Cricetulus griseus: one gene and its partner. The protein of the gene in region 2 interacts with the protein of the main gene of each other region in a pairwise test. Links are inferred from orthologs where the notes say so. Each region holds a gene or a part of one and is shown on either strand. Other genes may lie near its edges. The genes, in order: Asb9 and creatine kinase M-type.

Region 1 (15,206 bases), on a different chromosome or scaffold from region 2:
CCTGAGGCTAAACTTTCAGATTTCTTTGCATTTCCAGACTTCAGGGGCCTGGTGTGGGAGTGAAATTGTCCCTTTGACTTGGGACCTTTTATCTACGGAGTTTTACCTATTGCTTTGGTTATGTATCCTTTGGCCCACATCACTTGCTGTGTAAAAAAATGCTCCAAAGTTAGCAACATGAAGCAACACACATGTGGCTTTTTTACAGACTTTGTCAGGGTTTACACAATATTTTGCTGGTGTCAGTACTCTGCAGTCATCCTAAGGCTTGAGTAACTGAAGATCTGTATCCAAGCTCAAGAACCAACTAAGTTGTTGGACTGAGGGTCTCACTTCCTGACTGGTTGCTGGGTGGGGGCCACCCTTGTTTTCTTATCAAGGACTTCACTAGGATAGGTCAAGAAGTGATGCCAACACTAAAGTGAGTGAGCCAAATAAAAGTTGTTTAATCTTGGAAACAACCTTTTATCATCTTTGTATATTTTCTTAATTAGAAGCAAAGCTTGGTCTGAATGTAGCTCTGAGGTAGAGTAGTGGCTTAGCATATGCAAAAAGATGAGGAGGAGGAAGAGAGAAGGAGAAGGGGAAGAGAGAGAGAGAGTGGAAGGGAGGAGGAAGAGTATGGAAGAACAGTTGAGGGGGGAGAGAGGTAGGACAGGAGGAGGAAGAGAGAGGAAGAACAATGGAAGAGCCCAGGAGGAAGAGAGAAGAAAGAGGGAAGGATGGAGGAGGAGGAGGAAAAGGAAGAAAGAAGAGGAGGAAGCAGCAGCATCAGCAGATACCTCATTAAAGGGGAGTCAAGTCCACAGGCCATTACTACCAGGAGACAAGACTCACTGGAGGGCTTCCAAGTCACACCCACATGAGCCAGGCAAGCAGAGGCTCATGGATGCTTCCCCTCACTACCCTGTCTCAGTAAGTTCTTGGTGAAGCCAGTGTTAAATCAAGCAGAGCGGCAAGTATTTTATCAATTGAACTACCTCCCTAGATGCCTAGGCAATCTGTCTCTTGAGTGCATATAATGAAGAGTGAAATTATTGAGTTGCTGGCTTCAGTAGATCCTGGAAAAGTCATTTCTTTTGTGGTTATCTTATATTAGGCTCTCAATTGTACCCTGTGATGGGCTGTTTTTCTTGTCTTTTTGTTTTTATGCTACAGTGAATGTCTACTAAAGTAGACATTTTTTTTTTTTACCTGACCATATGATTTAACTTTTCAGAGAATACACACAGTTCTTGAACTATATAGCTGAAAACCAGCCTGATTGTCTTCTCCCCCATTTTGAGCCATTTTCTCTTCTTGTAGGGATGGCCTGTAAACATCATCACGGCCGATCATGTGTCTCCACTCCATGAAGCGTGTCTGAGAGGACATTTTTCTTGTGCAAGTGTTTTACTGAGTCATGGAGCTCAGGTAAGTGAAGCTTAAATAATAGAAACAAACAGTATCAAAAAAATCAAAACTGGCTATTTGTTTCCCTCTGAATAATTTCCAGTACCTTTGATTAGTCTGATTTGAAATGTACTTTTCAAGAGTATTATGCCTAAGTGCATGTGCTTTGCCAAGAGGTGAAATACTTCCTTTTTTACCTAGAAAGTTATATTAGTTACTTTCCTGTTGCTGTGATAAAACACCATGACCAGAAGTAACTCAGGGATGGAAGAATTTATTTGGGCTCGTGGTTCCAGAGGAATAAGTGTCCATGATGCAGAGGCATGACTGCAAGCAGCAGGCACCACAGCAGAAGTGGGAAGCTCAGAGCTCATATCTTCAAAACCAAACAGGAAGCAGAAAAAGGAAGTGGTTCAAATGGTTCAAGGACAGACTTCCTCCAGCAAGGCCACAGCATCACCTCAAATGGTCTCACCAACTAGGGACTAAGTGTTCAAATACCAGAGCCTATGGAGGGCTTGTCTTCTCTTTTTTCTGAGACAGGGACTCTGTGTAGCCTTGGCTGTCCTGGATTTCACTTTGTACACCAGGCTGGCCTCCAACTTAGAGATTCCCCTGCCTCTGCCTCCCAAGTGCTGGGATTAAAGGTGTGCATCACCACCTTCTGGCCTATGGGGGTATTTCTAATTCAAACCACCACAAAAATCATGTTTAGAGTCTGAAGCATTTTCCTTATCAGACAGCATTAATAAGTAGTGTTTCATAATTGTAAGCTCTCTACCTACATGTCTCTGGGTAACAGGGAATGAAATGCTGCAGAAAAGGTGAGAGATTCAACTAGGGATGGTCAGCATGTCAGAATAAGAACATCTCTGAAATCTCTCATTCTGTATTTGTTCAAAGGAGAGCAGGGATTGCAAGGGCAGCAAAAGAAGGCAGGCTCTTCTCTTGTTTCACATTTGTTATTGTCATATTGGCAGAGTAAGCCACAGAAGCAATCCCAGATTCAGGTATTGGAAAAATAGCCTCCATCTTGTGATGGGAATGGCTGACGTGCCATATTGTAACGGAATTCGCACTGTGGGATAGAAAGAGCCTCTGGCCAGTTTGCAAACTAACAAGGCGTCATAGGATTAACAGGGATTATTGGGAGCACATAGAAGTGTTCATCTATTTCCAGTGGGTCAATCAAAAGGGACTTTCTTCAGGAAATGATGTCTAATCTAAAAGAGAAGGAACCAGTCAGCCAAATGGTGAAATAAAGGAAGGTAAAGACTTCTAATGCGAGAGACACAACTGACCCAAAAGCCTGGAAGTAAAATTGGCCAAATTTTGCCAACCGTGTTTATGGCAGGAGAATAGTTGGGTGAGAAGGTTTCTTTTGAGTTATGATGAAAACAGGGCCAAGGCTAAGGGGAGGCAAAATAGGCAACTGGGATGGAAACGTTAAAGAAACAGTCACTCTGTGGTCCTGTGGCACTATGGGAACTCCAGAGTGAGCATCTCCTGTATGTTTTTTAGGTCTGGGCCTTCCTTGGGAAGAGGGTGTGGTAGTGAATTCGGTTTTTTCCCCACAATATCTTCATTTAACAGATACATCAGAGTATATGACAAGATAGAAAAGTCCGTGTATGTCTGGGCTTGCTATCTAGTGTTTGTAGCCCAAGCATAATGATATGGATCTTAGTTTGTAAACTTCTGTGACAGTTCTAACATAAGAAAAAAATCTCCAGAATCTATAATTTTACAGTCTTGTTAACCAGTTGTATATCTGTTTGCCAGCATATTTAAGTAGCATATTGACAGACTGTATAAATACTTCTTTGATCCGACCCTACCATCTTACCACTCCTCTGGTTAGTGAATGAATTGAATAAATTCTTTGGTGTGTGAATCATATTTGCATGAGAATCAAACCTTTAAGTAAAAAAAAAATAGTCTTTTTAAAAAATCAATTTTAGCTTACTCTGGCTACTGTCTAGGATGGATGTTTAAAATGGAAACGTTAATTTGTAAGCTATGCTACGGAAATTATCGTAACTAGTTTTAAAGTTCATGATCCCAAGGAAGGCAGGGAGGAGATGGAATCTTCAATAACGTTATGACTGCCTTGTATTTTATACTTCATTTGCTTTTTTAATGACAGTTTGGTGGTCCTCATTTTATATAAGAAGATGGACCTTAAGGCTCAAGAGAAGTTAAAAAACCCTTTGAAAGTGAGAGGGTTAACCTTGAGTTCAATCCACATCAGTCACTGTCTTCATCCTGGAGTTGGGTTTTCTTCACAGGTGAATGGCATAGCCATAGACTGGAGAACACCCTTGTATAATGCCTGCCTCGGTGGCAACCACGATTGCGTGACTCTCCTTCTGGATCATGGAGCAGCTCCCCATCCTGAGAGTGATCTGGCCTCTCCCATCCACGAGGCTGCAAAGAGAGGTAAATCCATCTGGAATGTGAGGGTTTTTACCCAGTCCTTCGAGGACACTCTTACTACTGAAATGGGAAAGAAGAGGGACATTTTAGTGCAATAGTTTTCAAAGGGCGCCTGGTAGTAGGAGCGTCCATATGACCAGGCTTGTGAAGAAAGACTCGGAGGCTCTGCTCTAGCCCTGTTTAATCCAAATATCTCCAGGGTGTTCTGATCCACAGTTAAGTTTGAGAAGCACCCTTTCAGAGATATATTTTCATAACAAGGGATGGTACGTACTAGACTACACTATGGATCTTTGTGGAATACTTGATCCCATAGAAATCAAGGGTTTTTGTTAGTCCATAATTAATTGTATGAAGCAAAAGGATTCATACTAACATTTTCATTCAAGGCTATCATGTATCTCAATCATATTCAACCCTCAGTCATATTCAATCATATTCATTTCTCTCTCTTGCCTGTCTTTCTCTTCCCAAGTAGACCCCCTTCTACTTTTATGGTGTGTGTGTGTGTGTGTGTGTGTGTGTGTGTGTGTGTGTGTGTGTGTATGTGTGTTTGAACACACATATATAATCTAGGTTCCACATATGAGTGATTGTATATTTTGTATTTGTCTTTCTGGGTTTGCCTTATTTTGCTTAGTATGGTGATCTCCAATTACACTCATTTTCATGTGAACAATATAATCCCATTCTTTATGTCACAACAAAACTCTGTGTTATACATTTACCATAATTTTTTATCCATTCAGCTACTAATGGAGAACTGGGCTAATTCCATATCATTGACTATTGTGGTACATTGGCTCAGGTTCCTTTAGTATATACCCAGTAGTGTTGGTACAGCCAAGTTGTCTGGTAATTTCACTGCAGTTTATCTGGGAGACCTCCATAATGATTTCCATTGTGGGTATCCTAGTTTACATCCCCACCTACAGTGGATAAGGGTCCCTTACCAGCATTTGTTGTGTGCTTTACAAAACAATCATTTTCTATTTTAGGGTATCAACAGTGGCTTGGGGTCATCTAATTTTGAAAAGTGAAACATATTTTCAGCTTGAGGAAATCTATAAGACTTTTTATCAGTTCAGGGATGATCTTAGTTTTTTTTCCTGTTGCCATGCTAAAATACTCTGACCTCTGATGGAAGCAACTTAAGGGAGAAAGGACTGATTTTAGCTTACAGTTCTAAGTACAGCCTATCACGGTGGGGAATTCAAGGCAGTGGGAGCATGAAGCAGCTGGTCATGTGGCATCTCCAACCAGGAAGTGGAGAATGATGGATACACACATGATGCTTAGCTTGATTTCTCCTGCCCAGGCAATGGTCCCACCTACAGTTAAGATGAGTCTCAAATACTAATTAACAGTAATCAAGCTAATCCTTCAGAGAAATTCTCAGAGGCCAACCTTAATCTAGATAATTCCTCACAAGTGTGCCTGGATGCTTGCCTTCTAGCTGATTCTAGATTCTGTCAAGTTAACAGTTGTCACAAGAGGGTAAATCTTTCTATAAAGTACAGTTTGAATTTTTGCTTTTCTCTGGTGTTTAGCATCACCTGCATGTCTATACTTTGCTGGAGGGCTTTCTGTTTCCCCAGGGCCTTTCTAGAATGGCTTTGCATTCAACCAGACCAACCAATGTTGTAATTAACTGGGAAATCATTGTGGTTTCTTTATGAAGAGCCATATTAACTCAACATGTTTACTGGATACATACAATTAAAATGGTTCAACATGAGACCCCAAAGGGTGGTGTTTAAAATATGGCATTCTGGGCCAAGGCAGAGTGAATCTACTTTGAACAAACTTCGTTTGCCAGACTGGGCCTTGCTCCCATGGGATTTGGCAGTGTTTAAGATTTGCTTGTGCTTATTGTGGCCTATTCCTCCAGCCTTTGCAGGCTGTAAGCTTCCTGCCCTGTCCTGTGATACATTCCATGTCTTTCTTCAGGACCATTTTTAGTCCTGTTGCTCCATGGCTCTTACAAGCACACAAACAATTGATAAAGGTGAGTGGATGCTGGTTGGTTTCTATGGCTAGTGAATGCAGGTGCTGTTCCATCTGCAGCTGTGGATGTTGATGGTTGGATCCTGTTCTTTGGCTGACCCTCCTTTCGTTTTGATGAACCAAGGCAAAAGCCTGATTCTCCTCTTCATGGAATGGCTGGGTGAGCTGACCTAATGGACTTTTGAACAGACATTTACTCTGATGCCAGTGTTTAAAATTATTTTCCATTTTAAGTAAAAGAATATGGCTTTTATCTCCTGAGCAAATTGAGAACATGGGAAGAGGGGGGAGGAAGCTATGAGAGTGAGAAGGGAAGAAAAGGAAGGATGCAGAGGTCATGAGGAAGCAGAAATTTTGAATCAGGTGTAGATTAGAAGAAAGGACATATGATAGGTAGGATTTTAGTTGGGGGGGTGGTAGAGGAGGAAGGGAGGGAGAAGGGAACTGGGTTCATCATGTAATTCAATCTTGTTTGTAATTCACATATATAAAAAAATAAAAAACAAAAACAAACAAAGAATATGGCTTTTGATTGCTGGATGTGTTGGGGATTCATTTAAACACACAAAAATAGGGACTTTTGTTTAGGGAATTTGTGCAGTAACCCTTTTCTTCTTTTTTGGACTGTAGGTCATGTGAAATGCATCGAGTCCCTTGCAGATTATGGTGCCAATATTGACTATAACATCAGCCACCTGGGTACTCCTCTATATATCGCTTGCAAAAACCAGCAGCTAGCCTGCGCCAAGAAGCTTCTGGAGTTAGGTAAGGCAAAACAGCAAAACAAAATAAGGCATGAAAATGAAAAGCAAATTAAGTGAATCTTGAAGATCCTGGTGTCATACTAAAGGGAAGAGTGTGAGCAAGGGGCTTGAGACATACATTGTCCTCATGAGGAGTTGTTTTACACCATTCACACTTGTGTTTTCTCACTTCTAACTAGCATGACAATGAAGAAGAAGGTGATGATGTATACCACCCATGCCTTCTTCCAGGGTGGTCCTCATTTATCACTAGTTGATCTATCCTTTACTCTGCCTCTCTCTAGCTGGGCAATCGTGATTCAGCTCTACAAAGCTTGCAAAGCCAATGGGTTTTAGCTGACTCTTCCGATTTGGGACTATCTTCCGTGTTTCTTTCTGATTAGGAAATTAGTCCGCCATAAACATTATCCTTTCCATGAAGAGATGTTCTATCATTCCATATCTCCCTACAGCTGTCCCTTCTTCTCAACACTGGGAACACTGTTCCAACTCTTTAATTTTCTGAATTCTGTTCTTCCTTTAAGACTCCAGAGTCATTCCCCCCACACTGACTGTTCTTGTGTTCCCTATTTCTTTTCTTATTCACCATTTTCTCTGCCACTCTCACTCCTTCCTATTACTACTTTTAGGTAGATTTTAAGCTTTGAGATATTTAAATCTGTTATCCAGGACAGGGCCGTCTTTGGCATCTCTCACAAAGTAAAAAAAAATTATTTAAAAACAATTCAATGAATGTTTGTTGCTTGGGCATCGGTTTTTGTGGAGGGACATCCGCTCAGGTGAAAGTCTGAGCCTGAATATACCTCAGTGAGAAGCAGACTCTGAGCTGGGATGGGGTTTTATTTAGAGGGTAACTAGAGTTTGGTGGGGATAGCCCCAGAAATCCACCTTCCTCCTAAAGAGAACTTGCAACCCTTCCTGTGATAACAGGATCCATTTTTCCAACTTAGGAAAAATGCCCCCTTAATTGGTTGTGTTTAATGATCCAGCTCACACAGTCGCAAGTCCCGTGGCTTTAAATGCAGTGCTGGCTGCTCAGTGTATGAATCTGGCTTCATGATGTACACAGTGTAAGTCTTTACTAGTACTTACACTGCATTAATAATGAATATGCAACTTTCATGCTACTCAGATATTTCTTGATTGTATTATGCCCATGAAGAGTACTCTGTGTCGAGTTGGTACCTCCATATGTTACACAGCTCACATTGTACTTTCAGTCACATTGTCAAATACTATTTTCCTTTTATTATATTTGTGTAAGAGTGTGCATGTTTATGTGGGGAGGGTTGTGTGTGTGTGTGTGTGTGTGTGTGTGTGTGTGTGTGTGTGTGTGTGTGTGTGTGTGTGTGTGTGTGTTTATGCTCACCTGGAGGCCAGAGGTCAACCTTAACCATCCAGCTTAATGTTCAGAGCTCATGCTCTCACTAGGACCTGGAACTCAATGATTAAGCTCAGCTGGCTTCAAGGGTCTTCCAGTCCCCACTCCTCAGCATGCTAGGACCACAAGCATGTGCTTCCACACTCACAGTTTTCTCTGGGTGGTGGGGATTCAACACAGATTCTCATACTTGGATGGCAAGCACTTTGCCAACAGAGCTGTATATCCAGTGCCCAGTTTCCCTGTTACTATAGTAAATGATATAAAGTCAGACCAGTTCACAATCTCACAGAATCATGTTCATCATGGATTCCCCATTTTAAACACTTTTGACACTCCATGTTTTGTTCTTGTGACCATTTAGGAGCATCTGTGAATAAAGGCAAAGGCTTGGAATCCCCTCTTCATGTAGTGGCCAGGATGTCTTTTGGGGAGCTGGTATACCTACTGATGGACTTCGGAGCAAATGTTCAAGCTAGGAACGCTGAAGGAAAACGTCCTGTGGACTTGGTGCCTCGGGAGAGTCCTGTGACTGAGATCTTCTTGGAGAGAGAAGGTGCCTCTCCTTTGCCCAAATCTCAGCTCTAACTCCTAAGACTTCTTTGATCTTTAGTAGGAGGCAGGCATTTCCTAAGTTCTGACTTCCAGTCCTGGAAAAGATTGCTCTCTGCCATCACCATGCATGGGGAACCTGAGATAATTCCATAGGGCACAACACTGTTTATGAAGTAAATAGCCTGTTGTTGTTGAATATGTTGGAATCAGGCTGTTAGGCCAGTTTTTAAGGAGGTCAGGCTATTGTTAAAAAGTATTTGATATTTAAGTTAACCGAAGCATGCTTTAGAGTAGTGGTTCTCAACCTTCCTAAAGCTTTGACCCTTTAAAATAGTTCCTCATGTTGTTGTGACCCCCAACCATGAAATTATGTTGCCACTACTTCGTAACTGTAATTTTGCTACTGTTATGAATTGTAATGTAAATATCTGTGTTTTCTGATGAACTTAAGTGACCTCTTGAAAGGGTCATTCTACCCCTACAGAGTTCGTGACCCACAGAGTGAGAACCACTCCTTTACAGTAATTCAGCAGAAGCCTTCTAGGCATTGTCTGATTCCCCAAGATGTCTAACTGCTCCATACATCAGCCAAACCTAGGAGTAATTGATTGCTGGGATTAAGATGAAGCTAACTGAGAGTTTAGGGTATTTGTTTAATGATTCACACCAATCAAGATACATTTACTCTTGCAAATTATGTACACTCCTCCATAAATAAGACCTCACACTGCTCTTCCAAATAACTACACAGTGGTATGCACAGGAGAAGGGGCATTTCTTAGAGCAAAGAGTCCTTTTAGGTTGTGAGGATACCTGATTGCATTGTCAGTTGTTCCTGAAGGCAATTCAGTACCTGCATTCTTACCAGAGTGTTGATTGTGCTGTTTTTGGACTATGGGACTCTGAAGCAGGTCTCCATACCTGAAGGACTCTGATGTCAATAAACTGGTTATTTTCTACCCACATGCTGAGAAGTAGGCCTGAAGTTGGGCAGAATGATAAAGTGGGCCAAAGACTTCCTCCTACTCCCACTGCCCCAGGGCAATTGCCCATCTTGCAGTTGCCTGCACTCTTTAGCATTGCAGCACAGGCTAAGGAAGACTGATGTAGGCGGAAGGAATCAACTAGAGGCCTCTTTCTGTTAAACAGTTGGATAATCATTGGGCATTTCTGCCTGCATTTTGAAGATTTCTTGTTTTAAAAAAGTCCTATGTATACACACAGGGTCACTTTCTCTTATAGTCTCTCAGAGCCCACAGAAATATTTTAATTAATTCTTATTAAAACAAGAAGGAAGATGAATAAATCCTAACCAGAATTATATTCATCTTTATACTTACATAGCTATAAAATGTTTTAATATTTTTTATTGGAAATGTGTTACCCAGAGGCAGCTGTGCCTCAGGGTCCTTTGAAGTCACACAGTGGGATGAGTCATAAGATTTTCAGATTGTTTTCACTGATATTTTCCTTTTTAAATTTTTTGAGACAGGGTCTATCTGTGTAGCCCTGGCTGTCTTTGAACTTGCTATGTAGATCAGGCTAGACTTGAACTCGCAGAGATATCCTTGCCTCTGCCTTACTGTTGGGATTGAAGGTGTGCACCATCATGCCCAGCTTGGTGTTTTCTTTCTACTCTATTCCCCAGAGCTATTCATAGAGACCTACGTTATCCTTAATTTCCTCATTTCACACTTGGAATGATGACAGTAGGCCTATGATCCTACTGGTTTAGGGGTACAGCATGGCAGTGAAGCACACCCTTGCTACAATGAAAGGTGCTACATTCCATCCTAAGGACCCCAAACCAACAAAATATAATTTGCCACAGAAGAAAATCACCTCCATTTTGCCTTCATGAGTCACTTTTAGGATTCTGATGAGGCCACTTCTTAGCAGGACAGTAGGCCACCAGAAACAGTTCCATGCAAGCACAAAGTTAGAGCTGCAGATATAACACACCAGTTTCTTTTTCTGACGCTGGGTCTCCTTGCTGATTCAGCTTACCTGACTCTCTGTGCTCAGGGAGGCAACTTAATTAAATCACTGTCCTTCCAGGGTGTGGGGACTGGGGAATATAAGCTGAACTTAACTGTGCTCTGAGTTGGCTTGGCATGGAAGTTAGGGAAGGTGGGGATCTCACTTTTCTTGGAAGCCAAGGGAAAGGATTTCAGGAGTCACACCCTCCAGCACTGGCACATACATGTTGCTCCCTAAGTATACACTGTGAAGTGTGCTGGTCTATGCCTTGAACATAGTCTGAAAGGTGCCCCGACTTCGAGCTGTACCTTCTAGAAAGTGCTGTCAGGGCTCTAGCTGGAGCTTACATTTTTTTGACTGTTTGTTTTCACTTCTTGTGTTCCATCACTTGAGAGACCCATAACTAAGTTCATCTGGAGCTTGCAGTGAGGCTACAGGACAGTAGGGGCTGTAGTATCATTTCAATTGTAGTTTCAAGACTGATTTCACAATAAAATGACCTGGAGCCCATGGCTTTAACAAAATCTAGATGCACAGGCACAAACTAATGATAACTGAAGCAGTGTCTCTGGGCCGGGACACAGTTTAAACTTCCCCAACTCCAGCCAAATCTAAATTGCATACTAGATTGAAGGCTACTGTTTCATGCAATTATTAAGGGTATATAGTTTTCTTTAAAAAATAGCAAAAATAATTTCCATTTTAATTTGGTACAAAGAGTGGGGGTGGGGATGGGTGATTATACTTCCCTTTTATTCTATAATAGGGGTTCTAAACCTTGGTACCATTGACAGTTGGAGTCATTGACAGTGCTGTGCTCCTGACTCCAGGAAGAAAATACCTCACTTTTCTTTTCCCCTACCCAGCCTGTTGAGAACCACCATCCTAAAATTTAAACTCTTGGGTTCTCTGTGCGAGTTTATGTTAGTTGAGTTTTCACCCATGAGATGAAGCTTTTGGATAACTTAGAATGCAGAACAGAAAAGGAAACACAACTAAATAACATGAACTTATGATTCATTTGGAACTTAGTATATTTGAATATCTTTAAGTTGTTAAAATTATAACATAGATGTACTTGCATCTAGAAATATGATTTAATTTTTAAGGTAAAAGACAGCACCCTGAAGCATGAATTCTATTTTTTATGATTCAAATTTTTGTGTAGCTATTTAATTTCCAAGTTAGTTTCCTTTTGCCTCTCTTAATGAGGGTAACTTTTACATTTCTTTTACTCTGTCATAAATTAAAATCCAGTGAGGGACAGAGATGGCTGAGCAGTTAAGAGTGCTTCCTGCTATTGCAAAGGATTGGGGTTCTGCTCCCAGCACCTGCATCTGGCAGCTTACAACCTCCTGTAATTCCAGCTGCAGATGATCCTGTGTCCTCTTATGGCTTCCATAGATACCCTCATGCTTGTACCCACACTCCATGTATATACATATATATAGATAAACATAAAAGTAAAGCTTAAAACATAGATTTTACTTCAGTTAAATACAGGAAAACAGAACTTGGTCTCAGAATGCCCCTTTATAGATGCACATAACAATTTCAAAGAGAACAAGGAGAGGTATACAGGAATGTTTGGTGGGAGGAAGGGGAAGGGGGAATTAATGTAACTATATTATAATCAGAAAAAAAAACAAAAAAACAAGGGAACATAGTCTTAAGCATGCAGTATTTCTGTATAAGGATATTATTATACATTGCATGATTTTAAAAGGCAGTCCTAGGTCAGCGAAGTCAATGTGTGACTTGTCCCATGCTCTTTCTCCAGGTCCTGAGTCTTTGATGCAGTTATGCCGCCTGAGAATCAGGAAATGCTTCGGCATTCGGCAGCATCATAAGATTGCTGCACTCTTCCTCCCGGAAGACCTGAAGCGCTTTCTTTTACACCTTTAGTTGTGTAAGGAGTGGATTCACAAACAACCGAAAAAGGTTGTTGAAACTTTGACCACTGGAGTTTCAAATAAACTTGTTGATAATGTTTGAATGTTTGACTAATGTTTTCTTTTACATTTTTTCCTGTTAGATCATTATTTTTAAAAATGGGAACCCACTGGGTCTTTTGTGTTACTGGTTAGAGAGTGTGAAGACTGTCCTCTGCTTAAAAATTAGCTATTGGTTTTGAACATGTCCTACTTGGCAAGAATGAAGCAAGGAACACGTTATGCATCATTTAATCGAGCCTTCATACAAACTGCCCGGGTGGGTACTATTTACTGTATTACCTTTGCTAGGTAATACACTGAAGCTCAGACTGATCAATATATCCAATTACCCAGATCAAGGACAGAGGAGCCAGATATAAACGTAAATTGGCTGCTGTTAACCTGGACAATTTTAGCTAAGCAGAATTTTATGTTCTGGCTCCATCTCCATGGTATGGAAAGGGAGACAAGAACAATGTTTCTTTGTTTGTATCTATGTATTAACCTTTTCTCACTTTATGACACAGATGTAACTGTATTAGCTATAGAAGCAAGTTTTACTCCATCCCAAATCCCATATGCACATTCAAAACATTCTAGAACCCTGCTGTGGAATATAGTAGCTACTGTTTAGGGCTTTCAGTCGTGGGTGATTTTTCAGCCCCCTGCCCCCCAACTTGGGATATTAACAATGGCTGCATGCATTTTTAGTTGTCTTTACTAAGGAGATTTGTACTACTGGGTAATCTCAGTTCATAATTTGACAGACAGCTGGACAGAGGCCAGGGTTCCCCTAACCATCACTTGCTCACAGAATAGCCCCTCACCCACAATAAAGCATTATTCAGGTCAACATGCAAATGGTGTCTAAGTTGAGAAACCCTGAAGTGCACAAAGATGGTGAATTTAAAAAAACAGAATTAATTAAATCAATGTAAAGTGAAAACTTCATCTCAGTGTCATCAGCCACATATCAAATGTGTTTATTATAACCTACTCAGGCAAAGTGGCCACTGTGCCGTATTACACAGACACACAGGAACTTATATTGGACAGTGTTCCTCAGATGGTAAGTTAACTGATTTTAACTGCTTTTCAGTTTCAGATTTACAGGAAACCTGTGATGCAGTTTAGTATGGATGGTTTTAGTTATCTCACTGAGAGATGCATTTGGGGGTTCCATTACATCATTATAAAGAAAATATTGTAACCGTTTTAAGGAAAACCGTTATGTATGAGATGACATATGTTACATATGGCCTAGAGGATTCTCCTAAAATACACCCAACATAATTTGTCTGTGATTATTAATTTAATTTGCTGTATGAAAAAGTCTAGGCTATGGTTTGAAAATTCCTAACTAATTCTTCCAGAAGATGGCGCTGTTGCCACATAATTATTCAAGCAAAAGACTCACTACTAAAAAAAATGACCAGTCACAAAATGGTTTACCACGGAGGCTCTGGAAATTTCCATTTGGGAATGAAAACTTTGTGGTGATAGATTCTACTGACAATGGTTTCTTTGCCTTGTGCTATAGCCCATAGCTCTAGGTTGAATAAAACGTCTCCCTTCCCTGTTTGTTGGCTTCATAACCTGACCATCTCCACTTTCACTACTTAGAATTTATAGCTAGCTAATGAACATAAGTATCCCTGCATCTTGCTAATTCATTCAGTTCCATTCACTCACTGATTTTGTTTATTTGGGGATTACTTAGTGAGTGGCTGTGTCTCTTTGCAGGCACCATTCTAGACACTAAGGAGGCAAAGTTAATGAGAGGCATATTCTAACAACAGATACTGTTTCCTAGCTCTCACATTCTAGTCAAAGAGTCTTTTGCCAAGGGGCAGGAGCTGTGAGCATTTTGCCAGTGTTTTCTTTTGGAAAACATCAGTTTAGGGCCCAGGGAATTGGCTCAGGAAATGCAAGCATGACAACCCAAGCCCCCGTGATGATCCCCAGAACCCATGGCAGCACACACTTTTAAACCCAGTACTGGCAGGGGCAAAGACAATCTAGACAGAATGGCAAGCTACAAATCCAGGAGAGACCCTGTCTCAAAGGAGAAAAAAAAGCAATTGTGGAAGAGACTTAGTGTCAAGCTATAGCATCTACATATAAGGGCACAAATGTGCATGCGCATGTAAACCTATACACATGAACACTGTATACACACACACACACACACACACACACACACACACACACACACACACACACGACAGCCTGATGTTTCAAATAAAATGTCTCAGACGAACCCTTTCTATGGTAATCCAAAACTGTGACAGAATTATTAGAAGAACATTTTTCTTCTTAAGTGTTACAGTCAATTAAGCAATTTGAAAATCCATGTAACAAATGGTCATCTTCACAAAAATACTACCAGCTACTTCCCTTGTTGCTATTTAGGGCGATATTAAAGCATTTCAGTCAGCAACACTCAGAAAGAAGACTCCATTAAAAGATCCACTTTTATGAGTCTAGATATGATTGTGTTTACTAGTGGTGCACACCTTTGAATGCTTTGTTTACCTGATGCAATGCAAACAATTATGTCATAAAAGCTGTATAAGTCACACTTACATATTCTCACTGTCCTGGTTAGTTTTATGTCAACTTGACATATGCTAAAGTCATCTGAAAGGAGGGAACCTCAATTGAGAAAGTGCTTCCATAAGATTGGGCTGCAGGCAAGCCTGTAGGGCATTTTCTTGATCGACGGCTGACATGGAAGGGCCCAGCTCACTGTTGGTG
Region 2 (14,869 bases):
TGGATGACGTCATCCAGACTGGGGTGGACAACCCAGGTGAGCCTACAGTGGGACAGACAGACCGGAGGGCTAGAGGCCCTGGGCAGATACCAGCCTGCCTGTCCCAGGGAGCCTCGTCTCCCGCCCACCCTCCCTTCCTTGGAATGAAATCTAGGACTTCCTGCATGCTAGGTAACTATTCTACCTCTGAGCCACGCCCTCAACCCCTCACTGGGGGATTCTAGGCAGGGGTTCTACCACTGAGCCACACCCCAGCCCCTCACTGGGGGATTCTAGGCAGGGGCTCTACCACTGAGCCACACCCCAGCCCCTCACTGGGGGATTCTAGGCAGGGGCTCTACCACTGAGCCACACCCCAGCCCCTCACTGGGGAATTCTAGGCAGGGGCTCTACCACTGAGCCACGCCCCCAGCCCCTCACTGGGGAATTCTAGGCAGGGGCTCCACCACTGCACTGCAGTCCACACCCATGAAAGGATCCTTCAAGCCTCTTACCTGGATCCTCTGTGGAAGTGGATTGTTTGAGCTCAACATTTTTGGCTGAGATGCTACATCCGGGGACTTCAAGAAGCCCCAACATCTTGGGCCCCATTTACCTGGTGCCTGCGATGGCTCTTTTACCCATATTGAACACCTATAGCTGTCACAAGCCTAAGCTCCCGGTGCTGACGTCAGCCCCACCCCGCAGGTCACCCCTTCATCATGACGGTGGGCTGTGTGGCCGGTGATGAGGAGTCCTACACAGTCTTCAAGGACCTGTTTGACCCCATCATCCAGGACCGCCACGGCGGCTACAAACCCACAGACAAGCATAAGACCGACCTCAACCACGAGAACCTCAAGGTCAGTGGCCCCAAGAAGCGGGGTAGGCACAGAGATGGGGAGACAAATAGAGATGGGGGGACAGACTGAGAAGCAGACTCCCAGGAAAATGTCCCGAGGGCAGGTGGGGGTGGTGGCCAGTGAGGCTGGGTGGGGCACAGGAGGAGTTCAGTGTCAACTGGGGACCTGGAAGGATCTAGGGGAGCTCTAAGGAGCCCTGGGGAGACCCCAGAAGACATGGGGGACAGCCAGGAGGACTGGGGATACTCTGGAAGGTTTGCAGCAAGGCTCATGGAGGATCTGGAGTGAGAGCCCCACGAGGTTCTTGGGGAGACCAGGGCTGGCCAGGTCTGCCTTCCCTGACACCCCAGCGTTCCCCCAGGGCGGAGACGACCTGGACCCCAACTATGTGCTGAGCAGCCGCGTGCGCACTGGCCGCAGCATCAAGGGCTACACGCTGCCCCCGCACTGCTCCCGCGGAGAGCGCCGCGCTGTGGAGAAGCTGTCTGTGGAAGGTGAGGTCCCCAACAGCTGCACCCGGGTCCCCTTCGGGCTGCATTACCTGTGCTCCAGGTTTGGGGGCACTGAGGCAGGCAGCCTGGGAGGTCCTGCACTCAGCCACCCAGGGTCTTCAAACTCGTTGCTCGCACGCTACCCATTGACTCATTCGGCGATCCATTCATTCATTCAGCAAACATTGTTGGAGCTGAGATTTCTCAGAATGGGTGAGGCAACAAGGTTACGAATCTGAAAAGTGGGGTTGAGAACCAACAGAGTTGCTCCTGCTAGGTGGCCTAAGCCTGGCACCCTTACGCTTGTAATCCCAGTACTTTGAAGACTGAGGCAGGAGGATCACCGTGAACTGAAGACCAGCCTGGATTCATAGTGAAACTCTGCCTCAAAACCAAGAAACCAGGCCAGGAGGTGATGGCACACTCCTTTGATCCCAGCACTGGGATGGCAGAGGCAGGAGGATCTTTGTGAGTTCAAGGCCAGCCTGGTCTACAGAGTGAGTTCCAGGACAGTCAGGGGTACACAGAGAAACCCTGTCTTGAAACCCCTCCTTAAAAAAAACCAAAACAAAATGAAGAAATCAAAGCAAACAATAACAAATTTTGCAACTGCATGCTCCCCGCTCCCCTGGTTTTTCAAGACAGGGTTTCTCTGTGTGGCTTTTGGAGCCTATCCTGGAACTCGCTCTTGTAGATCAGGCTGGTCTCGAACTCAGAGATCCGCCTGCCTCTGCCTCTCGAGTGCTGGGATTAAAGGCATGTGCCATGGCCACCTGGCACAAATTTCTCTTTTGTTTCATTGAGACAGAGACTCCCTGAGTCTCCCTCCAACTAGTAATCCTCCTGCCTCAGCCTCCCAAATGCTGGGATTAAAAGTGTGTGCCCTTAGCCGGCACAAAGTGTAAATTCTATAATGGCCTCTCTTAAAAAATATTTTTTGAGGTAGGGTCTCTCTACATAGACCTGACTGTCCTGAAACTCACTATGTAGGTCAGGCTGGCCTCAAAGTTACAGTGATCCACCTGCCTCTGCTTCCCAGTCCTGTAGTGGCCATTCTGAGAGTGGCCCTCTGTGATTAAGTCACACACGGTGGGTTTGAGGTCAGTGTAGGCTACACGATGAGATCCAGTCTCAGAAACAAAAACAATGAGAGCTGTGTTCAGGAATCACACTCTCCTGCAGGTGGACTGGGTGGGAGGTTCTGCTCTATGTCCTGGGGACAGGGACATACAGGTGACAGGGACATACAGGGGACAGGGATATACAGGGGACAGGGACATACAGGGGACAGGGACATACAGGGGACAGGGACACACAGAGGACAGGGATATACAGGGGACAGGGACATACAGGGGACAGGGACATACAGGGGACAGGGACATACAGGGGACAGGGACATACAGGGGACAGGGACATACAGGGGACAGGGACATACAGGGGACAGGGACACACAGGGGACAGGGACATACAGGGGACAGGGACACACAGGGGACAGGGACATACAGGGGACAGGGACATACAGGGACAGGGACATACAGGGGACAGGGACATACAGGGGACAGGGACATACAGGGGACAGGGACACACAGAGGACAGGGACACACAGGGGACAGGGACATACAGGGGACAGGGACATACAGGGACAGGGACATACAGGGACAGGGACATACAGGGGACAGGGACATACAGGGGACAGGGACACACAGGGGACAGGGACACACAGGGGACAGGGACACACAGGGGACAGGGACACACAGGGGACAGGGACACACAGGGGACAGGGACATACAGGGACAGGGACATACAGGGGACAGGGACATACAGGGGACAGGGACATACAGGGGACAGGGACACACAGGGGACAGGGACACACAGGGGACAGGGACACACAGGGGACAGGGACATACAGGGGACAGGGACATACAGGGGACAGGGACATACAGGGGACAGGGACATACAGGGGACAGGGACATACAGGGGACAGGGACATACAGGGGGCATGGACATGGGGGGGAGCGTCCATGAATTCTTGGAAGAGGACATGTATTTGGGTTTAGACGTGGAGTGTAGTGGTTTGGAGACCTCTTTGATGCCCAGGCCCAGGGTGTCGGGGGCAGCAATGTGGGGTTCTCCAGGCTTGGTACCCCCAGCTGAAGTCAGGCAGGATACTGATTGCTCCCCTGTGGCCCCTCAGCTCTCAACAGCCTGACAGGCGAATTCAAGGGCAAGTACTACCCTCTGAAGAGCATGACAGAACAGGAACAGCAGCAGCTCATTGACGACCACTTCCTGTTTGACAAGCCCGTGTCCCCTCTGCTGCTGGCCTCAGGCATGGCCCGGGACTGGCCCGACGCCCGTGGCATCTGGTGAGTCCTTCCCTGGCTCCTCCAACCCTTCTCCATGGCGAGAGTCCATGACCTTGCCTTCCAGCCCTGCACAGCCCTGGTCAGGTGTCATAGTTTAGAAAACCTGGGTCAGAGAGGCACTGTGAGGAATTGACACTAGCCAGGCCTAGCTGCAAAGGCCTCTTGTTCCTGCTACTGGGGAGGCCTTGGAGGAAAGTTTCAAGCTTAGAGCCAGCCAGACTACAGTGAGTTTGAAGCCAGACTGGGTCTCAAGTAAAAACTGAAAAGAAGCCAGTGGTGGTGCACGCCTTTAATCCCAGCACTCCGGAGGCAGAGGCAGGTGACTCTCTGCAAGTTCAAGGCCAGCCTGGTCTACAGAGCTAGTTCTAGGACAGCCAGAGCTACACAAAGGCACCCTGTCTCAAAAAAACCAAACCAAACCAAATCAAAAACCTGAAAAGAGTTGGAGTGGTGTACAGCTCAGTGGCAGAGCCCCTGTCTAGACTCACCCAGTGAGGGGCTGGGGGTGTGGCTCAGTGGTAGAGCCCCTGCCTAGAATCCCCCAGTGAGGGGCTGGGGGTGTGGCTCAGTGGTAGAGCCCCTGCCTAGAATCCCCCCAGTGAGGGGCTGGGGGCGTGGCTCAGTGGTGGAGCATCTGACTGGCATAGGGCCCAGATTTAATCCTCAGTATGGTAAAGAAAACAAAATAAAATGTTTATATTTGAACCACTCCCTCAGTTCGAATCTCAGCTCTGTTACTAGGTGTGTACGACCCTACATACCTGTAGCAACAGCTACTCCAGCAGCCTTAAGCAGGAAGATCACTAGATGACAGGGATCATTTTGGTCAGTAAAGGCCATTTTTACCAAAATCCATTGTACAACAAAATACATGTATGAAAAGACGAAAATAATAATAATAATTTAAAAGTTGAAGACGGCTGCAATCTCCGAATCCTGGAATTCGAAACTTGAGATCAGAAGGGATAAACATTGTGGATGTGACCTTGGGGTCGCAGGAGGGACATTGCCACTGTATCCCACGCTGGCCTCAAACTCACTCTGTTGCCCAGCTTGGCCTCACGCTCCAGATAGTCCTGCCTCAGCCTTCTGGGTGCCAAGACAGCAGGCTGGTGCCCGGAAGTCAGGGAGTCAAGCTAAGGCGGGAGTGACTGGGAATCCAGTGCACCTCTTTCCCTTCCCCGGTGCCCAGAGGAAGGGACTGCGTTGGAGTGCGGTTGCTTTCCTGGGCCTTGGGCGTCCTGCTGACGTTTAGGCCTCCGGTTGCCCCTTGTTAGGCACAACGACAACAAAAGCTTCCTGGTGTGGGTGAACGAGGAGGACCACCTCCGCGTGATCTCCATGGAGAAGGGGGGCAACATGAAGGAGGTTTTCCGCCGCTTCTGCGTGGGCCTGCAGAAGGTGGGTGTCCGCCCTCCGCGCTCACTGGGGCTGCATCCTGACCGCTCTGTAAAGCTACATCCTTCCTAGACCCAGCCCGCCCTTCCAATCCACCACGCCAGTGCCTAAGACTCCTTTCCTTCCTCCCACCAAACCCCCCACTGCTTTTCCCACCCACTTTCCAATCTCTGCCTCTTACATTCATACATACACACACATATGCATACACACATGCATAGACACGCATGCACACCATGTATATACACACACGCGCACACACGCATGCACACACATATACACATAGGCATACACACACTCATGCACGTACACACACGCATAGACACATACATACATACACACATGCACACACACAGTCATATACACACGCATAGACACATACATACATACACACATGCACACAGTCATACACACACACATAGACACATACATACATACACACATGCACACGCACAGTCATATACACACGCATAGACACATACATACATACACACATGCACACACACATACATACACAGAGTCCTACACACAGGCACACACACGCATGCACACACATACACACATAGGCATACACACACTCATGTACGTAACATACGCATAGACATATACATACATACACACATGCACACAGTCATACACACACACATAGACACATACATACACACATGCACACAGAGTCATACACACACGCATGCACACACATACACACAAGCGCACACGTAGGCATACACACACTCATGCACGTACACATAGACACATACATAATACACACATGCACACACAGTCATATACATACGCATAGACACATACATACATACACACATGCACACACAGAGTCATACACACACGCGCACACACACGCATGCACACACATACACACAAGCGCACACATAGAATACACACACTCATGCACGTACACACACGCATAGACACATACATACACACATGCACACAGTCATATACACACACATAGACACATACATACATACACACATGCACACACAGAGTCATACACACACGCACGCGCACACACACGCATGCACACACATACACACAAACGCACACATAGGCATACACACACTCATGCACGTATACACACATGCATAGACACATACTTACACACATGCACACACACAGTCATATACACACGCATAGACACATAATACATACACATGCACACAGTCATACACACACACACACAGACACATACATACACACATGCACACAGTCATACACACACACACACAGACACATACATACACACATGCACACAGTCATATACACACACATATATAGACACATACATACACACACACATGCATACAGTCATACACGCATGCTCGCACACACACACACATGCATACAAACAGCCATACACACGCATGCTCTCACGCGCGCGCACACACACACACACGCATACTCACAGACAAAGCAAGCTCTGCTCTTTCTGATTCCACCCTACCCATTTCCCCCCGAGAAGGTCCGAACCCTTCGCCACACTCAGACACCCCTACTCCAAGCTACCTACATTCCAATCCCAGCCCATGCCTGAGCCCCGCCTTTCAGTACCACCTCACGCGTTTCCGAAGCCCCGCCCCTCCCCCATCTAAGCCCCACCCCCCCCCAGGGTCTGAAGCCCGCCCCCACCTCTGCGGGAGTCCTCTCTCCAGAGCTCCTCCGGCCGGTGCTCCACTCCCCCCTGCTGGAAACCCCACCCGCACCTATACCCTGACACCTGGCCCCTCAGACACCTCCTGGCAGGCTGCATTGGGACCCCAACCCCTGGTGCCCTCCCTCTGCCCTCCCCAGATTGAGGAGATCTTCAAGAAGGCTGGGCACCCCTTCATGTGGAACGAGCACCTGGGCTACGTGCTCACCTGCCCCTCCAACCTGGGCACCGGGCTGCGCGGAGGCGTGCACGTGAAGCTGGCCAACCTGAGCAAACACGCCAAGTTCGAGGAGATTCTCACCCGCCTGCGCTTGCAGAAGCGTGGCACAGGTGCGGCCCGCCCGCGATGTCTGCGGAGGGGGAGGAGGGGGAGGGGAGGGAGAGGAGGGGGAAGGGGGGAGGAGGGGAAGGAGGGGAGAGGAGGGGAGGGGGAGGAGGGATGGAGAGGAGGGGCAGGGGGAGGAGGGAGGAGGGGAGGAGGAGGGGGGAGGGGGAGGAGGGGGAGGAGGGGGAGGAGGGGGAGGCGGCATCCCGGCCAGTTCCCGGCTCAAAGCTATTTGATGTGCATTTTATATCCGTTCCTGACTCTCCCCTGGGGCCTCCGATTCTGTCTGTAAATAGAGGGAGGTCAATTGGACCACAGGCAGCCACTTTTAACTAGCATTCTCTCTCTCCTCTCTGTCTGTCTCTCTGTCTCTCTGTCTCTGTTTATCTCTGTCTGTCTCTCTGTCTCTGTCTGTCTGTCTCTCTGTCTCTGTCTGTCTCTCTGTCTCTCTCTCTCTGTCTGTCTCTCTGTCGTCTCTGTCTGTCTCTGTCTGTCTGTCTCTCTGTCTCTCTCTGTCTGTCTCTCTGTCTCTGTCTGTCTCTCTGTCGTCTCTGTCTGTCTGTCTGTCTCTCTGTCTCTGTCTCTCTCTTTCTCACACACACACACTCATGCATACGGAGACACAGTCTCACCTTGGAGCTATGGTTGGTCTGAAACTTGCTTTTACGTCCAGTCTGGCCTCGAAATCTCAAAGTTACAGAACCCGCTCTATAGTAGACCAGGCTGGTCTGGAACTCACAGAGCTCCTCCTGCTTCTGCCTCCCGAGTGCTGGGATCACAGGCGTGCCCGGCATTTTTTTTTTTTTTTTTTTTAAGATTTATTATATATACAGTATTCTGTCTGCATGTAAGCCTGCAGGCCAGCAGAGGGCACCAGATCTCATAACGGATGGCTGTGAGCCACCATGTGGGTGCTGGGAACTGAACTCAGGACCTCTGGAAGAGCCGTCGGTGCTGTTAACCTCTGGGCCATCTCTCCAGCCCGTGCCCGGCGTATTTTAAAAATGAAATGCATTTATCCGAGAGAGAGAGAGAGAGAGAGAGAGAGAGAGAGAGAGAGGAGAGAGAGAGAGAGAGAGAGAGAGAGAGAGAGAGAGAGCATTCCCATGGTGCGGAGGAGGTCAGAGGACAAGCCTGCTCTCCCCTTCCACCACGTGGGTCCTGGGAACTGAACTCGGGTCGTCGGGGGTCTGCGGTCGTGGCTCCGGCTGTCACTCTGGATGCTTGAGCGCGCGCGGACCGCTCCGGGAAACCCGGGCTGGGGAGCCGGGGGGCGGGGGGGTGCAGGGCGGCGGGCTCCCGTCCCGCGGCTCCCGCAGGTGGGCACGGGCGTCGCTGCGCCTCTGCGCGCCGCTCACGCCTCGGTGGCCCCGGGGGACCCGTGCTCCGTCCCGCGCAGGTGGCGTGGACACCGCGGCCGTGGGCGCCGTGTTCGACATCTCCAACGCCGATCGGCTGGGCTCCTCCGAGGTGGAGCAGGTGCAGCTGGTGGTGGACGGCGTGAAGCTCATGGTGGAGATGGAGAAGAAGCTGGAGAAGGGCCAGCCCATCGACGACATGATCCCCGCGCAGAAGTAGGCGCCGCCGCCGCTGCGCTCCCCGCCTCTGGCTTCTGGCCAATGAGAAACCGCCTCTCCGGAGCCCCGCCCACCAGCCTGAGCACCGCCTGGGCGAGCGCAGCGGGAGACCCCGCTGCTCCCCGAGCCCCCCCAGTCTCAAATAAAATCCCGTGGTGGCCTTAGCTTGGAGTGCGACAGCTACTGAGGGGACAGGGAGCGGGGAGCGGGGACCTCGGCATCCAGCCACCATGGCTTGCATCTCACGCGGCTCACTGGCTTCCTGTCTTCGGGCCTCTCTAGCTGCCAGTTTGTTTTTTTTTTTTTGTTTTTTTGTTTGTTTTTGGAGACAGGGTTTCTCTGTGGCTTTGGAGCCTGTCCTGGAACTCGCTCTGTAGACCAGGCTGGCCTCGAACTCACAGAGATCCGCCTGACTCTGCCTCCCGAGTGCTGGGATTAAAGGCGTGCGCCACCAACGGCCCGGCCAGCTGCCAGGTTTTTGTTGTTGCCCTTTTGAGAATGCCTCTCATGCACCCAGGCTGGCCTCGGATTCCCTGTGTAGCTGAGGATGGCCTTGGATTTTTTTCTTTTTTTAAAGATTTTATTTATTTCTTATGTATGCAACATTCTGCTTCCATGTCTAACTGCACACCAGAAGAGGGCACCAGATCTCATAACGGATGGCTGTGAGCCACCATGTGGTTACTGGGAATTGAACTCAGGACCTCTGGAAGAGCAGTCGGTGCTCTTCACCTCTGAGCCATCTCTGCAGCCACGGCCTTGGATTTCAAATCCTCCTGATTCTACTGGGGTTAGAGGAGTGCACCACCACCATGCTTGGCTCGCGCGCGCGCGCGCGCGCGCGCGCGCGCGTGTGTGTGTGTGTGTGTGTGTGTGTGTGTGTGTGTTATATGCACTTACTACATAGCCCAGGCTGGCCTCAAACTTGCATTATTTACCCCCTGCCTCAGCCTCCTGAATCCTGGGATGGCAGGCAGACCCCACCATGCTCAGCAGAGATGGCAGGCAGTAGAGGCAGCTCACAAGGTGAAGAGTGCTAGGGGCACTAGCCAGATGGTGGGAGATTGATCCCAGAGCCCGTGTCAAGAAGGAAAGAACCAACTCCCCACACTGAGTTGTCTAGACAAAGGTGTTCCTTCCATATACACAAATGTAGTGGAAAAACCAGCAAACATACCTCAGTTCCCGTCTGTGGCTGCTGCTCCTTCAAGGTCAGGGTCTCATGTAGCCCAAGTTGGCTTCTAACTCACTATAGATCCGAGAATAACCTTGACATTTTTGTTGATTTTTTTTTTTTTTTGAGACAGGGTTTCCCTGTGTGGCATGGGAACCTATCCTGGCACTCACTCTTGTAGACCAGGCTGGCCTCAAACTCACAGAGATCCGCCTGCCTCTGCCTCCAGAGTGCTGGGATTAAAGGCGTGCGCCACCAACGCCCGGCAAGCCATCTTTTTTTTTTTTTTTTTTTTTAGATTTTTATTATGTATACAACATTCTGCTTCCATGTCTATCTGCACACCAGAAGAGGGCACCAGATCTCATAACGGATGGTTGGGAGCCACCATGTGGTTGCTGGGAATTGAACTCAGGACCTCTGGAAGAGTAGTCGGTGCTCTTAACCTCTGAGCCATCTCTCCAGCCCCCCAGCCATCTTTCTTTAAGACCTGGTCTTGCTATTTGTCACTGCCTTCCCTTGGACTTTTGGCAATCCTCCTGCCTCAGCCTCCTGAGTGCTGGGATTATAGGCTGCTGCTACTGTAGCCCAGCTCTAAGGGCTTTCAACCTATGTCCTTTTGTTTTGAGACAGTCTCTGTGACAACTCAGATGCGGTTACAGATGCGTGGCACACTGCCGCGTAGCTTTTGGGTTGTCTTCAGGCAGGGCCTCAGGTTGCCCAGACTGATCTCCAATGCTATGTAGCCAAGGCTGGCTTTGAACTCTTGATCCTCTAGCCTCTGCCTCCCAAATTCTGGGATTATAGGGCACTCATGTGTAGGCCAGGCTAGCCTCAAACTGACATAGATCCAGCTGCAGCTACCTCCTTATCTGCTGGGGCTTAGGGGTGAGCTGGCATGCCTGGCACGATAATGGACTTCTGTTACTCTCAGTTCAGATACTTGCCCCCCAAATGCCTTCTGGTCCTTTCCTGGGAATAAAGATCCCAACCCTAAGGACTTCCTAGTGAAGGTCCAACCAGCACCATCCACCGGGAGGCAGAAACTCAGGCAGAGATGTAGCCAAGGTGGAAATGGCTAAGTGTGGAGAGCAAGAGTCAAAGGTCATTTGGTAGCAGGTTTGTCTGGCATGTAGGAAGCCCTGGATGGGGTCCCCAGCACAGGTATGGTGGCGTACACCTATAATCCCAGTATTCAGGGGGTGAAAAACAAATTAGAAGTTCAAGGTCAGCCAGGTGTGGTGGTGCCCACCTTTTACTCCAGTACTTGGACGGCAGAGGCAGAAAGATCTGTGTGAGTTCAAGACTAGCCTGGTCTACATAGTAAGTTCCAGGACAGCCATGACTATGTAGAAAGACCTTGTCTCAAAAACAAAATAACAAGCCAGTCGTTGGTGGCGCACGCCTGTAATTCCAGCACTCGGGTCTACAGAGTGAGTGCCAGGATAGGCTCCAAAATTAAAGGCGTACACTACTACCACTCACGGCCATTATTGAAGACAAAGAATTACTGAGTTTAGTCTGTCTGTCCCGTGTCTGCTTTGCCTCCTGACCCACCCACCACCCAGCTTCCATGTGGACAGTCTCACCAGGGCTCCCTGCTGGAAAAGAATAAATACCCCAGCCAGGCCTCTTCTGGGATGCAGGTCCCACGAAGGCAGGGCTGTGGCTGTTCCCCATACAATACACTATTGGCAAGTGAAAGGCTAGCCTGGGCTACACAATGAGATGAGCCTGATGCTTTCAAGTGTCAAAAGACAAATACTACTTTGGTTAGGTTGGGGACAACTGGCAAGACTTAATTTAGGGCTCCAGGGCAAAGCCATTGGCACTGGCAGGTTTCTGTGAAAACATTTTTTGTGGGGTTGTTTCATGTATCCCAGCATGGCCCATATCTTGCCTCCAACACACACATGCTGGGATCACAGGCCAGACACACAGACATCTTTTTCCAGACAGGGTTTTCCTGTGGAACCCTGTCTGTCCTGGAACTTGATCTGTAGACCAGGCTGGCCTCTGCCTCCTGAGTGCTGGGGTTAAGACCATGCACCACCACTACCAATACAAGTGATTTTTTGCAGAATAAGAATGGAATTTGGGGCCCACTAGGCAAGCACTGTACCAACTGAGCCACAGCTACAAGCCACAGAATTTCTTCCCAAGGCCTCCTTTTCCTGTGGCCTGTACAGGGCTCTCGTTACCTCCAGCCCCTCCCCCACAGACGGGCTCTGTACTCGTGTCCAGAACTGGGCCAGCGTGGAGTGGGCACCAGTCATTGAGTGTTTATTGAATACATGTGTTACTGAAGGAAGAAGGTTTCAGTCCAGTGTAATTCGGCAGAGGGGAGAGAGTGGCCAAGAGGAGGGTTTGACAGAACACCCGGGCCTCACAGAGGAGGCTGAACTCTGTTCTGCCCTCTTCCATAGCCATCCTTGACCCTCCAACCCCACTTTCCCATTCTGCAGATGGGATAACCAAGGCTCAGCAAGCAGAACCACAGGTTGGGGTCAAGTCCCCAGCTCCCTGGCTCACCTGCAGGCCAAGGGCCGGGAAGGAAAACCCCAGATCGGCCAGGGAGGGGTTTGGGGGCCAGAGGGACTCTCCTACTATTTATTGGGTAACAGGCTGCAGATGAGGAGCTGACAGAAGGGGGGTGGGCAATAACTTAAAAACCAGAGGTGACAGCGGCAGCTCCCCAAGAGACCTCTGCAGAGGGACAGGAGTATATACAGGGGTTTGTACAAAGTGCCCTGCGCCAGCCTGGGGCAGGAAGGGAGTTCGAGCATAAAGGGGAGGGAGGGGAAGGTTTCTGCCTGTGACCCCCCACTCCCTGCACCCCAAGTTCTGTCTCCCTGAATGGGAGAATTTCTTCACTTTCCCTTCTCACTCCTGTCTCCAAAGTCTCCTCAGTCTCCCTGCAGTAGAGCAAGGTGCGGGGTGTGGCACTAGAGGCCCAGGAGGGTGCCACCAGCTCCCACTGCGGAACCTTATTTTATCTCCGTGATAGCCAAGAGGACTGCCTGCCTCCGTCCACCTATCTAACATGGGGAAACTGAGGTCAAGATACGGGGCACCCCCTCCTCTGTCCTCCTCCCCTCTTGGGTAAGTGGAAGGGACCAGAGAAAGAGGAAGGGACCCAGGCTGTGATGGTGGCTGTGGCGGTGGCGGTGGTGGTGTTGGTGGCTCAGAGTTCGAGGTCGTTGGAGATGCGGGTGACGAGGGTGCGGAAGGCCAGGGCGGTGCCTGCCACTCGGCGGAAGAGGACGCCCCTGAGGCCGGGCCGGGGCAGCTGGCACACCTCTACTTCGAAATGGGACAGGGGCTCGGGCCCGCCCGCACCCCCGTGCAGGCAGGCCAGCAGGAACGGCTGCGGCTGACGGCACCGGCAGCGGGCAGCTGCGGTGGCTTGTCGCAGGGCAGCCATCAGGGCCTCGGGAGGACGAGAGCTGGTCAGCTTCACACTCCAGGGGAATCGGAGCAGCCGGGGGGCGGTTTCCGCTTTATCCCAAGGTAGATGGCAACTGAGGAGGGTACAGGAGGGATCAGACAGGGCAGGGGGGTGGCGTACTTTTCCACTCCCATCGGCACAGGGACAAAGAAGTGCCACTCAAGCTTGTATTTCCCAGCTAGACACCCACCCCCACCTGTGGGCCAAAACGGTGAAATTCACCCTGTAGACCCGGCTAGCCTGAAACTCACAGAGATCTGCCTGCTTCTGCCTCCCAAATTCTGGGATTAAAGGAATGTACCACCATGCCTGTCTATGTGTATATATGTATACATAATATTATTATTGTTGTTGTTGTTGTTATTTGTGACAGGATCTCACTGTGTAGCACACGCTCAGACTCCTGAGTCATGGAATGGCATCCTTGGTGGCTCACAGGTAACTTCTAGCAAAGTAGGGTCCTCTCATTACTCTGGTTTGGGATAGTCAATGTTCTGGCCAATAAGTGCATGCCACGTATGAGCATATGACCAAAGCTGACCAATTAACGCTCTGAACTCTTTGGGCCACAGACTTTGGTTTGGAGACAGACATGTCAGCTATACCCAGCCAATGAGACATGGTGGAGGATTCTGAACTGGTGGTGTGTCAAACTAAGCAGGGTGGTGCAAACTGTAACACTGCCTGCTTTTGTAAGTACAGTTTTATTGAAATACACCTCTACAAATTAACTTTTTTCTCATTGTAGGGGCTGGAGTCTGGGTAAGCACTCAACACTGAGCCATACCTGAAGCCCCTCACTGGGGGATTCTAGGCAGGGGCTCCACCACTGAGCCACACCCCCAGCCCCTCACTGGGGGATTCTAGGCAGGGGCTCTACCACTGAGCCACACCCCCAGCCCCTCACTGGGGGATTCTAGGCAGGGGCTCTACCACTGAGCCACACCCCCAGCCCCTCACTGGGGGATTCTAGGCAGGGGCTCTGCCACAGAGTCATACCCCAGCCCCTCACTGGGGGATTCTAGGCAGGGGCTTTACCAATAAGTTACATCTCAGCCACCAACCCTCAAATTTGAGACAGGATCTTACTAATTTGCCCAAGGCTGGCCTTGAGCTCTTGTAGCCTTGGCAGACTTTGAATTGCATTCCTCCTGTCTCAGCCTCCAAGGTGCTGGGACTGGCAGATCTGCATGACTACAGCCAGCATGGATATAGTGTTTTATTATAACACCGTGATATCTGTTTTCACAGAAGCTATGGCTTCTTTTGTCCTAGAATGGCAGAACCCAGCAGGAATAACTGAGATAGGCTTTCAAAAGTATTTGCAGGCGGAGTCTGCATGGACACTTAGCTATCGTGTGGCTGGGTTTGCCTATACCCTGCAGGCAATGCATAAAAGACGCGGGTAACACAGAAGAGGTGCAAATATTAGAGGGACCTTGGGCTGCAGGTGGGACAGGGCTCAAAACCCTGACAGCCCCGGGGAGGTACAGACACAGCGCAAGTGGAGGGAGGGGGGTCCCAGGATGTTCCAGCAAGTTGGCTTTTAGAAAATGAGATGTGTGCAGGCAGGTGGGGA

Evidence for each region.
Region 1: the proteins of creatine kinase M-type (region 2) and Asb9 interact in binary tests that used the Homo sapiens proteins (3 or more experiments, as listed by UniProt). The two-hybrid records come from large-scale screens. The link is inferred for Cricetulus griseus from reciprocal best matches to the Homo sapiens genes CKM and ASB9.

What each region holds. Positions count from the first base shown.
Region 1 is NC_048604.1:99,618,851-99,634,056, forward strand, and holds the end of Asb9 (ankyrin repeat and SOCS box protein 9), read left to right. Parts: intron 1-1,305; coding exon 1,306-1,413; intron 1,414-3,680; coding exon 3,681-3,831; intron 3,832-6,465; coding exon 6,466-6,600; intron 6,601-8,344; coding exon 8,345-8,536; intron 8,537-12,295; coding exon 12,296-12,420; downstream 12,421-15,206. UniProt on the Homo sapiens protein: Substrate-recognition component of a cullin-5-RING E3 ubiquitin-protein ligase complex (ECS complex, also named CRL5 complex), which mediates the ubiquitination and subsequent proteasomal degradation of target proteins.
Region 2 is NC_048602.1:27,929,300-27,944,168, reverse strand, and holds the end of creatine kinase M-type, read left to right. Parts: coding exon 1-36; intron 37-687; coding exon 688-842; intron 843-1,203; coding exon 1,204-1,336; intron 1,337-3,527; coding exon 3,528-3,699; intron 3,700-4,976; coding exon 4,977-5,100; intron 5,101-6,906; coding exon 6,907-7,096; intron 7,097-8,490; coding exon 8,491-8,669; downstream 8,670-14,869. Other genes in the region: Mark4 (MAP/microtubule affinity-regulating kinase 4), read right to left, coding at 13,027-13,363. UniProt on the Homo sapiens protein: Reversibly catalyzes the transfer of phosphate between ATP and various phosphogens (e.g. creatine phosphate).